3 linked regions of the Oryzias latipes genome follow. The protein of the gene in region 1 interacts with the protein of each later gene in a pairwise test. Links are inferred from orthologs where the notes say so. Each region holds a gene or a part of one and is shown in the gene's direction. Other genes may lie near its edges. The genes, in order: rint1, cwf19l2 and c11h1orf109.

Region 1 (3,457 bases):
GTGAAATGAGCATTTAATCCAAGGGGGGGGGGGGCATAAAATAACCTAGATAATAAGCATAGGTTTATGAAGCCATGTTTTTTTTTAACCCTATCAAAAGCAGAATGCTTCTTCAACATTAAATGAAACACTGACCTGCATGAGCCTTTTGTCTGGAAACACTGTTGGCCGCTACGTACATTTTGAGCGTATTGCACGGATGAAAATTGGTCATACGTGAATATACGTGGAAAAGGGAGAACAGTTGTGGTCTGTACGTGAATTTTTTTTTACAGATGTTTCACAAATAACCCACGGAAGAAGTATGAAGGAACCACGCAAAGAACCCAAAAATCAACGTAGAACATGAACCGTGTGTGATTATTGTGCTCTTTGAATGCAATCCATTAGTGATTCATGCATTAATGCACATATCACATTAATTTTAATGTGATATGTGCATCGTATACATAATACAAAGATTTTACATTGGTGTTACATGCGTGAAAGGTCCGTTAAACATACGAAGAATGGACGTAGAAAGTCACACTTGCATAAAATGTATTCATTAATTGTGTAGAAAGTACATAAAATAAGTATAAACTGCATAGTTCTCAACCGACCAATAATTCGAAACAGCTCAAAGCTGAATTCACGTTAAGACCAGTCAGCCGAAACCCTCCATGGACATCTACGCACAGTGACGGATGACAAACACACTTATGAATGACGTACATCCCGCAGGAATCACAAAAGACAGACATTTCATACGTGACACTGTGTGATATGGCCTAAAGACCGATGATGTGCTTTCTCTCTCTGTGTCAGGTGGTCCTGTCCAATCACTTTAGTGAGGGAGGGGCCGCTCAGCTGCACTTCGACATGAACAGAAACCTCTTTCCTCTCTTTGGTCATTACTGCAAGAGGCCGGAAAACTTCTTCAAACAGTGAGTGCCGCTGGGCCTCCAATGCTGCTTGTATTCACTTGATCTGAACCAACAGGAACACTATGACTGTAAACCAACAAATGAGAAGGTTATTGCTTTTATAATAGTAGTTCGAGTGTAAGGACAGGAAATAGTGATGGCTTTTTTTTTTTAAACTAGAAATAATGTATAAATTATATATATATAAATTCCTTCACTCCTCACTACACAGTGCAGCATATAATGCGTTCGCCATTTTTCAGTGCTGTCCAAACCTACAATTCCCAAATCAAGTGCCCAAATCTCCCAGAAGTCTGCAAAAAAACAGTGTTCATCAGTGCTCACTAGATCTGCAAATATAGAACATCCATTGCTTTTGAACAATTTGCGTGAAAATAATGTTATATTAATAAACCATCAACGTTTTCATCATTGGAACACAGTGGATTCATAAATTTGTAATGAAAAACTTCGTGAAATCGATGACGTCATATTTGCCACAAAAAAAACGTGAGCATGGAGTCCGCATTGCCTTAAAATCCAGGTCACTGGATGTCCCGCACTGTTTAGGCTTAGTAGTTTGTGAGTAGTGAAGGAATTCAGGCATAGAGTGGGAGTTACCACTTCTTTTCCATCCGTCAGGTTCTGATTTTATTCCCAATTTAAAGCGTGAATTCTTTTGTCGGTATCTTTCAAAAACTCAAATGCTTAGTTATGAATTTTGGCATAACAAGTGATGTGAAATTAACAAAGTAATACAATTACTTAAAAACTGTAAAGCTACTTTTGGCCTAAAGCCATAAGGATGCTGTGGGCTTTTAGGTTGTCAGAGCCCATAGGGGGTCTTAGACAGGAGGGTCGCGGGGTGGGTCTTGCAGTTCCCTTCAGGCTTGTGCGGCCGCATGAAGGGGCATCATAAAAATGGAATGTACCATTGTCGTGTGTTTGGTGAGTGTATGATGAAGTATACGTAAGGCTAAGGGAAGATACACGCACGTATGACGTACGAGTGATGCCGTCACACTCCAGTCATTAGGAAGGTGCGTGCAAAGGCTCCTAACTGACAGATGCTGCATGCAGAGGGTGTGCATGTAATACGAAATACTCGTAGGACGCCCACACAAACTACCCTTTGATTGTCTAATATCTTAAATTGGAACAGTCAGGCTGCACGCGAGGATTGCGTAACGGGCACATGAGAAGCACACTGGAACAGCACTTATGGGCTCCTTTTGCAGTGCGCAAGGTTTTGGGGGGTTAAAAAAATAAATGTACGACACGCCTGCGTTTCACCTACTTCACCCATATCTACCCTTACGTGTTGTTTACATGTTTACTACGATCTGTCAACCGCAGCATGCCTGTAGTAAAAAAAAGTCCATGAACATTTTCACTCTACGGGCTCACCAAACGGTCTACAGCTTTAGTATTTTGTGTGGGTCACCTGCGCCCCGGACTGGTTTGCCCATGTTTCGTAACAACCAGTATCCACCAGTGAGGACAATAGCTTCTTAAAGTAAATGGATCCCTTGTTTTTTTTTGGCCTTTGATCCAGTTAACCTGTTCAGTGGTGGTCAAGTTAATCTGCTGACCGGTGGTCAGGCTTGTTTGTTGACGGATGGTCAGCTTTGTGTCTGTCCTGTCGTTGCAGCATGAAGGAGGCCGTCATTGTCCTGTGTCTGAACGTGGGCTCGGCGGCTCTGCTCCGGGCGGTCCTCAAAGAGTCGCAGCAGGAAACCAGAGACAACGAGCGTGACAGAGCGGCAGATCCGCCCCCTGAGTCTGTCCTCAACGAGATGGGCGTTTACTGCTTAGCCCCCTCAGACGTGCTTATCCTGCTCAACCTCCGAGCGTCCTGGCCTGGACAGTAACTCTGAGGAGCACAGACATGCTTCACTAACCTCATGTCATGACTTCCTATTATGACACTTTAATATGTATTCTTTAAGTAATACAATGATTACAGATATTTATAGATGAATACGACAATAATAAACTCTGGCTTTGACCGATTTTTGTTTGGGTTCTGTTTATTCTTTTTCTGTTCATTAAAAAAGTTGGGGGCTCAGACGTGTTGAGGGCTGAGTTTGACAGCTGACAGGACGGTGATTACTGATGGAAAGCACAGCTTTAAAGGAGGCGGGGCTTAGACTGGAGTGAACCGAGAGGACGCTCTGCTTATTCCTGATCTGCATCCACAGCTTCCCCGCACCACTTCAGCACAGTTTAGAATCAGAATCCTTTAATATCAATTTACATAAGAGGCTTGTCACAATGAAATTACAGTTATGGATTTGCTCCACAAACGCTTTCCTCGTCAGAACCCCACCCCCCCTTCAGCACCATTGTTCTTTAACAGCTTCCTATGAGGAGTGGCTGCCGTGGTGGGATCAGCTGATGTAGCGAGTAGAGTCAGACAAACTCACCAGAACCCCAATGACAGAAAAAGCTCTTGTGTTGAATGACCGTCAGTTGAGAGCCTGTCAGCAGTTCTGTGGTTTTGCGGGGCGTTCGCCGCTGTAGATCAGTCAGAAAAGAGAGGGAGGCTGTGG
Region 2 (4,207 bases), on another chromosome or scaffold:
TTCAGCTTCTGCTTTGAAACTGGAGAGTAGCACAGTTCCAGTTTTTCATCGCTATTACCATGTTTTCCAGCAGGGGGAGCTGGAGCATCTGTGTGCTCAGGTGTCTGGAGTCAAAGTGAAGAGCAGTTACCATGACCAGGGCAACTGGTGTGTTGTGTTGCAGAAGGAATGAATGCAGAAAGATATGTCTGTGCGAATAAAAACTTGGCAGAACAAAAAACAGAACAGTGAGACAAAATGAAAAGATGTTCTTGTTGAGATTTTAAGAGAAATTAATAAATGTAGATTTTTGAGAAACTGTCTTTTACAGGGCTTTGATATTTGTGACTCTTTTGTTCGTTTTTGCTTGTTGGTATTTCATATTTTAAAAATCATTTTATTTTTCTTTTATCTTTAAAAATTCAAGTCAAGTCAAGTTTATTTATAATGCGCTTTAAAAAAAAACCCAGCAGAGGCTGACTAAAACACTTAACAATGAAAGATTAAAAAAAAACAACAATCTAAAATAAACAACATAATAAAAAAGTAAGAAACATCAATAAAATCACCAACTCATACTGAGCTAAAAGACAGAGGGAAAAAGGGAGTTTTCAACTTGGATTTAAAATCATTCAATAAATGAAAAAGAAACACATCTAAGTGATTTTTGGTCTCCTTTTAAGTTCAGTTTGTGCTTTGAAATTATCAGGGACTTTAAATTGAGAGCAGCCAGCACAGATTTTTTGTTTTATTTCCAACATTAAGGCAAATCAATCAAACTTTATTTTTTCAAAGCAAGTTTGTTTCGCACATTTTATGTACAAAGGTAGTTCAAAGTGCCTTACATAAAACATTAAAGGAAACATTTACTGGAGATATTAATGGGGTGATTATTAAAATAAAAATTAAAGAAAGTTAAAAAGAACGGAAATTAAAATAAGCTTAGAGTAACGGTGCTGATGTAAACTTTTGAAGTTAAATTAATTAAATGCTGTTGAGAACAGGTGGGCCTTTAACATGGGTTTAAAAAAACTGAGTGTTTTAGCAGATCTAAGGCTTTCCTGAAGTCTGTTCCAGAAGATCTGTGGAGCATAGAAGCTGAATGCAGCTTCTCCGTTTTGGTTTGGACTCCAGGAACTGACAACGGTGACAACAGATGATGGGAGAGGTCTGCATTGGACACTGAAGCCGCTAATTTGCACATGTAATGCTTGAAAACTATAGAACAAAATAATGATAGTGGGCCTTATATTTATCATAATCATCTTATTTAGCTCTTTGGAAAATTAGGCATTAAGGGTTAGGGTTAATGGAACTACAAGAACCACAAAACAACTGTCGTAAACAGCGATGTTTTACGACAGTTGGCTAGACCCGTGTACGACGTAGTTATGGCGGCGTACGGAGTCAGTTTTGAGAGTTCCAGCAACATCGAAGAAGCGAAAGAAAAGAAACGACAGGCGCGACAAGAGGCGATACAAAAGGTACGAACTAGGACTCTTTAGAACGCAGATGTGAAGTATTTCCGCGCCGCCGTTTGTTTTTGTTTACATTGATTGACCTGCTAACCGACATGCTAAGGATGGTACCATCAACGATCAAGTCAACCGGGACTATGTGACGTTTTGAGAAGGTTTGCTGTCGTGATGAAGTTTTAAGCAAGCGCTTGTCGGGACATTTTTCAGATTATTCCTGTTTGGACCATTGCTGCATGCTCCCTGAACGCTTGCAGGGAAATATGACACAAACACTGAAAGTGGTGAAAGTCAGTGACCGATATAGCACAGCAGACGGCGGCAGCCTGTCTTTTTCGTGTTTACATTTTGTCCAGATTGTAGTTATTCACTGTCCACAGATAGAAAACAAGAACATCTTAATAGCTGTATTCAAACATGAACATAGCTATTTACGCAGCACTTACAGCTGTTCCCTTTAAATGCACATAAATGTGTTGTAGACTCTTATCTGTTCTGCGCAAGCGCCAGGAAACTGACAACAACCGAGTGGAGCCCAGAACTGAGGAAAACTCAATCTATACATTTATCTTCAACCGATATACAGCAAAACATATTTAGCCAAATCTCTTTACTTTCTGTGCTGTTTTTATAATCTGAATATAATATATAATCGTAATCAATTTTCCAGCTCACATTTATACTTATAATCCCAAAATAGTATGTGAAGTCTAGATTTTGTTCAAATCTTTGTTTAGTGTTACCATTTATTTCTAGACACTTCAGCATAATTTAACATAATGTGTGAGTACATTTCTGTAAAACCACAAATACTGGTATGCTGTAGATATTATAATAAATGTTATTTTTTTTAAGGCTAAGCAACAATATGAGAAGGAGGAGAGGAGAAAGGAGCTGAAGAGGCAGAGAGGAGAGGACACCTGGATACTTCCTGAAGTCAACCAGAGACTGGAGCAGTTAGGAGACGTAAGTTGTATCTGTTTCACTTCAGAAAGACATTTAATAAGCAGCACAATGACAGAAATACATCATTTAAAGACCCACTCCAATGAGTATAGTATTTATGTTGTTTTTAACATGTTTTTGTTGCATTTTTCTCATGTTGAATAAAATATATCAAGAAAATTGAGATTAAAAATGCATTTCTGAGTATTTCTGTATTCATATTGTTGTGAATCAGGAGCAGACAGTCTGAGCTGAAATCTGTCTTAAAACTGGACGACTGCTCGCCAGTTTTGTTGCACCGGTAATGTTAGATTGGGGTTGTGAGGGGCTGTGAGCTAGCTGGAGGGAGTGTAAACAAAGGGTTCATGGGTAATGAGCGCACTTCAACAGTCCAACCCACAACTCCGAGGTGAATTTCTAATGAACTCCTGCCACCCTGCAGAAACTGTCCTAGAAAACAACACAGATTTTATAAATTTTTGCCTAAAAGAGCATAATTATTATTAAAATACCACTGGGAATGCTTTGAAAATGGATCAAAAGATGACTGCAGTTGGACGTGAATCATGTTTAATCATTTTCTAGAGCTATAGGTTGTTAAAGAAACATGCCAATGGTGGCACATTTCTTAAGAAAGTATTTATGCCTTATTTTTATATTTACCTAATCTAATTTTCATCTTTTTTTCCTTACATGCTGCTTTGAGTTTGCCATTGTCGGAGAAATAAAGTTTTATTTATCATTTTAGAATTTAAAACCACCTGCTTCACAGCAAACCAGTTTTCATCTTTTTTAAACCATGAAAACTTATTTGTTTTTTTATGTCAACATATTGGGTAGTTGTTTTTTTTTTTCCTGTACTCAAGCTAAACGTTTGCTGGTAAATCTTCATGTTTGCAGAAGTGGCTTCAAAATTTGCTTATGCAGAATTTTGGCAGCTTCACTCTTTTCCTGCTAATTGTATTTATTTCAATTCAAATATATTTTTTAAACAAACTGAGGTTCCATTTAAAGAACTAAATTCAAACATTTACCAGGATGGATCTTTGAAGAGCAAAAAGAAGAAAAAGGAGAAGAAATCCAAGAAGAAAAAAGAGAAGAAGAAGGACAAGAAAGAGAAAAGGAAAACGGAAGCAGGAGATGCTTCAAGTGTGGATTCAGAGGTAGACCGTCTTCCATGCATTACTCTGAGATACAAACACACAAATGATCTGTCAACAAGTTTTTCTGAGTGGTTTCTTAACAAAGATGTTTTAATAATTTCTATAACTGAAAAAATATTTTTGGGTTGAGTTCAGGTGAAGAATTTAGTTACGATTTAACACTAGAACGCCCAGGATTCTTCACTCCCCCTGCAGCGTCCAGAGCACAGCCAAATGGCTGGGTGACTCGAAATGACTCAAGGCCCGTACACACCGGGACGAATATTCGCCAGGCGTTATTCGCCAGCGTTTTTCGCCACGTTTTTTGTGTTCACACCCAGGCGATTTTCGCTGACGGTGAGCCGAGCGAACATGCAATTTCATTCCCTGACATTAGATGGCGCTTAATGTAAACAGAAATACTCCTGTACACAAGGTGGCGCTGCGCACCTTTACGCTTCTTAAAGTCGCTTTTCACTCAGAAGAAGTGAGCAAGTATTTACGCGCTTGTCAGAATCATACAAAGAAAACATGAATATTTCAAGCATCAGTAGCTCCAACTGGTACTTGGTTCGGGGATATTTAAGAATGTCCGTCATTATTTCTTCACAGCAGTGTAGACGCTACTTGGCGTCTATCTTCTTCGCTGGTATGTGTGCTCAGCAA
Region 3 (4,208 bases), on another chromosome or scaffold:
TTCAAGCTATTAAAAAATGCTAAGCTTTAAAAGATGCATATTTAATGAGTTTTGATATCAAAATTTAGATTGTTTTTTTATAGCACTTTTTCCATCCACTTCTTTATGATCCGGTTTATTGCATCATTTCGAAGGAGCAGAACTTCCTTTTTTACGTATAATTATCTTTTTAGCAACAAAACAAAAAACACAAACAGGAAATAAGCGATCAGTAAATTTACAAACAAATTCTAACTAGTTTTTGAGCACATTTTTTTATTAGTGCATGAAATTGCACATATAAGGAGAGGAACTCTTGTAGGGTCTTTCATGAAAAAAAACCTGCAATTTCCAAATGATAATAACAAATTATAACAGCTAAATGAAGTTATTTTTTGTTTTCTTTGGATTGTCTTGAAGACTCATTCATCCAGGTTGATTCCATCATAGTAGTAGGTTTAGGGGCTGTCATCTAGACTTAGTTTTTAAAGTTAGAAGATGTTTCACCCCTTATCCAAGAGGCTTTGTCAATTCTGAATTAGCTGGTAAGAGCTGGCATATATATATATATATATATATATATATATATATATATATATATATATATATATATATATATATATATATATATATATATATATCCCCAACCTGGTCAGCTCTTTCAGCTGTTACTGACAAAGGTTGAACAGGTTCGGTTTGTTGGGTTTCAGAACACTTTATTTCAGACAACAAACTGTAGGCCGAGCCTTTACTTAAGCCGAACTAGCATTGTCGTTTACCTTCGCTGTCGAAATCCTCCAAAAAAACTTCCAGTTTTTCAATTTTCTGGTTGTTCTTTCGCTGCTTCGTGGTCCTTTTCCTGGGCGCCATGTCCGCTCAGAACTTCACAAACAGGAGAAAACTGTGAAACGTTGTTTTCGAGATGGAAAAAAATAAGCCGCCGAGGACGTTAGCAGCTATGTTGTTAGCTTTGGAATCGGCAGGAGTTTATCCGGCAGATTAATTTACTCCCGTTTTCATTCTTTGGTCTCACTTATGATATAAATGTTTTTAGATTCAATTCGTCTGAGTTTGAAGCGGGTTTTCTTACAAAGGTAACAGTTGTGTGGGTTTCCCTCTGGCCTGCCTTCTTCGCGAAGTCGTTTTCAAATGTCCGCGCGAGGCGGAGCCAAGACACAAATCCAGCCAATCAGGACGTGGATTGAGCCCCGTCATCAGGGTTCGGCACTGCGAATGTTCAATGCTGCGTTCGAAGACAACTCGGGAAAAAATGAATCGTCCCCTGATGGAAAGCGTTTCAGTAAGAATCAAAAAAAGCATTTTTGTAAAACAGCTGAAGGGCAGGAAATACTAAAAATAGTCACCAAGTAAAAAGTTTTTTTAACTCACAATTACAATTTACCCAATTTAACCAAGATAAATAGCAACTTCCTACAGACATGCCTGTGATTATAAATATAAAAAAAAGTTCTCAAAAAGTCCAGAAGCATTAACAAAACCAGTGGGAAAATATATCAATAAAATGTATGTATGTGTGTATGTAGATTTAAAAAGGAGAGCACGAAAAAATACAATTTTCCGAAATCAAGTGCCTTTTTTGAGGAGCTACTGTATTTATGGGGCACCGTATCTCCAAGGATCAGTAAAGGCAGCATATGTCACTACTTGACACCGGAAGCGCTTTCTGGTTCTGCGCAGAAAAGTAGTGCAGAATTTTGCTGAGGCTTTCAGACTTGGTCAGAACTATATTTACAGTCCCATCCAAGCCAGAGCGGAGGCCGAGGGCATGTCTGACATCTCCCGACCGACGCTCAGCGCCCTCCACCAGGCGTTCAGGAACAGCTTCGCCGCGCTGGAGAGCAACCAGCGGCTGTGGGGGAGCGAGCTAGCGGAGTGCAGCCCTCTCCTGGGGTCTCTGGGGAACCTAGCGGAGCAGATGAGAGCTCTCTCTAACGTGCGGGTCTCCAGCACGCCGCTCGGAACCTTCCCGAAGCTGGAGGAGCGGCTGCGCTTCAAACTGCAGGAGGCCGCGGACACGGTGCTGGAGAAACTCAACGAGAAGATGTGAGACACGCGACAACTCCACACACACGCGCCTCTCGGATGACGTCATCACAGGGACTCCTGTGACGTTGAAAAGACTATTAGCTCTGTTTTTTGTGACAGCATAAAAAAAGTTTGTTTCAAAATAAGAGCTCCTGTAGTACAGATACTAGCACCAAACCATATATTACAATTTCCGTTTAAAGAAAATATTAAAGATAAAACCCCAAATCAAAATAAGCCACATAAGACCTTTACCAGAAACTAGAACCATCATTAAGCTACGTTCACACCGCCCTCAGCGATGCGCGTTCAAGAAACCACCAATAAAAAAAATGTAAATTTGCATTTTGGTTTAAACTCTTGAAGTTTCTACGATAATTTCTGAGCTCTGTATGTACAAAAAGTGCATCTATTAAATGTACCTTAAAAGTTAAACCAGGTCGAACTTTGACCAATTAGGGACTCAGATTTGGTAGTGACGCATGGATGGCACCCCTTTAAATTTACGGAAACACCAACCGTTTGAAAGTTGACCATGGAGGACAAATTAATGATTTTGATTTGATTCCAGTCGGAATATATGACACTAAATCTTTCATATATTGGACTAGAGATGCGAAAAGAAAAAGCCTGGAGTCAGATATACAAGAGATTTGCACCACTTTGACATTTCGCACCAAGACTCTGCCAACTGTAGGTGGAAGACAAGTCATGGTCAATTGTAGAAGAAGGAGAAGCCCCAACCCACTAGCACTGTGTGAACACTATGGGTTAACATGTTCTGGAACGCGTGTCTTTTTTTTTCTTTTTTTTTTTAAATGGTTTATTTCAACCAATCAAATAAGAACAATACACAACAACAATACAATCATCAGTTATACATTCATACAATGACGAATCAAACTTAGGATATTTAGACATATTAATAAATATTGCTTGAAAGGGAGTGGAAGGAAGCGAACGTATATAATCCCACCCCGTTATACCGTGTCATATGCCAGGTGTGTCCATAGCAGAGACAGTGCTGATGCATTCAGGGACATCATGGTTTTTTCTTCTGCTCCTCATTCACAGCAATTTGAATAAAGACATTTTCAGATTGCCAATTTTAAGCATACTTTTCTTTATGTATGTCCTCGATCATCAGAAAAAGGCCGCAAAAACTTGTCAAAACAGATAAAAACATGATTTTTATCAGTCTTCAAGGGCTTCCTTGTCCGAGGACTAAGACAGACTCCTTTCCTTCTCAGGTGTCGTCTGCAGTCTGCCAGAGACGCCATCAGTAACCAGGTGAGGTCCGTCATGCAGCTGTATGAGCAGAACGCCACCAGTTTGGACCTGCAGGCCGTCACAGAGCGCTCCGCCGTCACCCCGTCAGTCGCAGACATGCTGGAGTGGCTTCAGGACGCCGAGCGCCACTACAGGCAGCAGTATCCTTCCTGTCTGTGCTGTTGGTACGGTCCGCAGCATTCATGGACGGCAAGGACCGGATTGTTTTTGCAATTCTTTTTTTCTGAGAGCGAAACGGCAAATGCTAAAATATTTACCAAGATCTGCACAGACCCGGTACCCGCTGCATAGGAAGGCTTGACATAGTCCACCCCCTACACACACAAACAAACAAACTAACAAATAAAATAAAATAAACATTCCAGTGGGAGAAACCATCACAAAAATGAATGGGGCAAAGATCTCTAATGGGGTTCAAAAAATATATTTCAAATCCTTCAATCAAAGCCAAAACGGAGGATATCCATAGAAAACTTTAAAATTATGATTATGATCATGCCCTCCAGGGCAAAACAAAAGTTGGCGGCGAGGGCGGGGAATGGTAGAGCCAGCAGTCTGTTTTTTTGTTTCTGTCTTCTGCTCTCCTGAGCTCATGTTCAGATTCCTGCAGAGGAAAGTTCTGCTGCAAACGCTCAGACCCAACGACCTCGCTCTGCTGGAATCCCTTCCTGAGAGGTGGAAGTCCCTGGAGTCTCCTGACGGCGAGCAGCGAATCACAGGTAACATTAACTGTCCGAAGCTTGAAACGCGAGCTCCGCCAACTCTGAGATGTGGGACTCTTGTCTCCTGCAGAAACACTTTGCAGAGTGTCATTTTTCCTGGAGCTGGAGTGAAGACGGAGGAGCAGAACTGGAACCAGAACCTTCTGAGCAGGACAGAAGTCAATGATGCAG

What was found.
Region 2: the proteins of rint1 (region 1) and cwf19l2 interact in binary tests that used the Homo sapiens proteins (3 or more experiments, as listed by UniProt). The two-hybrid records come from large-scale screens. The link is inferred for Oryzias latipes from reciprocal best matches to the Homo sapiens genes RINT1 and CWF19L2.
Region 3: the proteins of rint1 (region 1) and c11h1orf109 interact in binary tests that used the Homo sapiens proteins (3 or more experiments, as listed by UniProt). The two-hybrid records come from large-scale screens. The link is inferred for Oryzias latipes from reciprocal best matches to the Homo sapiens genes RINT1 and AIRIM.

The regions. Positions count from the first base shown.
Region 1 is NC_019881.2:11,302,639-11,306,095, forward strand, and holds the end of rint1 (RAD50-interacting protein 1), read left to right. Parts: intron 1-807; coding exon 808-926; intron 927-2,556; coding exon 2,557-2,776; 3' UTR 2,777-2,918; downstream 2,919-3,457. UniProt on the Homo sapiens protein: Involved in regulation of membrane traffic between the Golgi and the endoplasmic reticulum (ER); the function is proposed to depend on its association in the NRZ complex which is believed to play a role in SNARE assembly at the ER.
Region 2 is NC_019871.2:20,782,605-20,786,811, forward strand, and holds the start of cwf19l2 (CWF19-like protein 2), read left to right. Parts: upstream 1-1,331; 5' UTR 1,332-1,370; coding exon 1,371-1,463; intron 1,464-2,309; coding exon 2,310-2,420; intron 2,421-3,436; coding exon 3,437-3,562; intron 3,563-4,207. Other genes in the region: alkbh8 (alkylated DNA repair protein alkB homolog 8), read left to right, coding at 1-172.
Region 3 is NC_019869.2:20,075,744-20,079,951, reverse strand, and holds the start of c11h1orf109 (uncharacterized protein C1orf109 homolog), read left to right. Parts: upstream 1-1,346; 5' UTR 1,347-1,765; coding exon 1,766-2,043; intron 2,044-3,275; coding exon 3,276-3,455; intron 3,456-3,915; coding exon 3,916-4,034; intron 4,035-4,107; coding exon 4,108-4,148; 3' UTR 4,149-4,208. Other genes in the region: cdca8 (borealin), read right to left, coding at 759-849. UniProt on the Homo sapiens protein: Part of the 55LCC heterohexameric ATPase complex which is chromatin-associated and promotes replisome proteostasis to maintain replication fork progression and genome stability.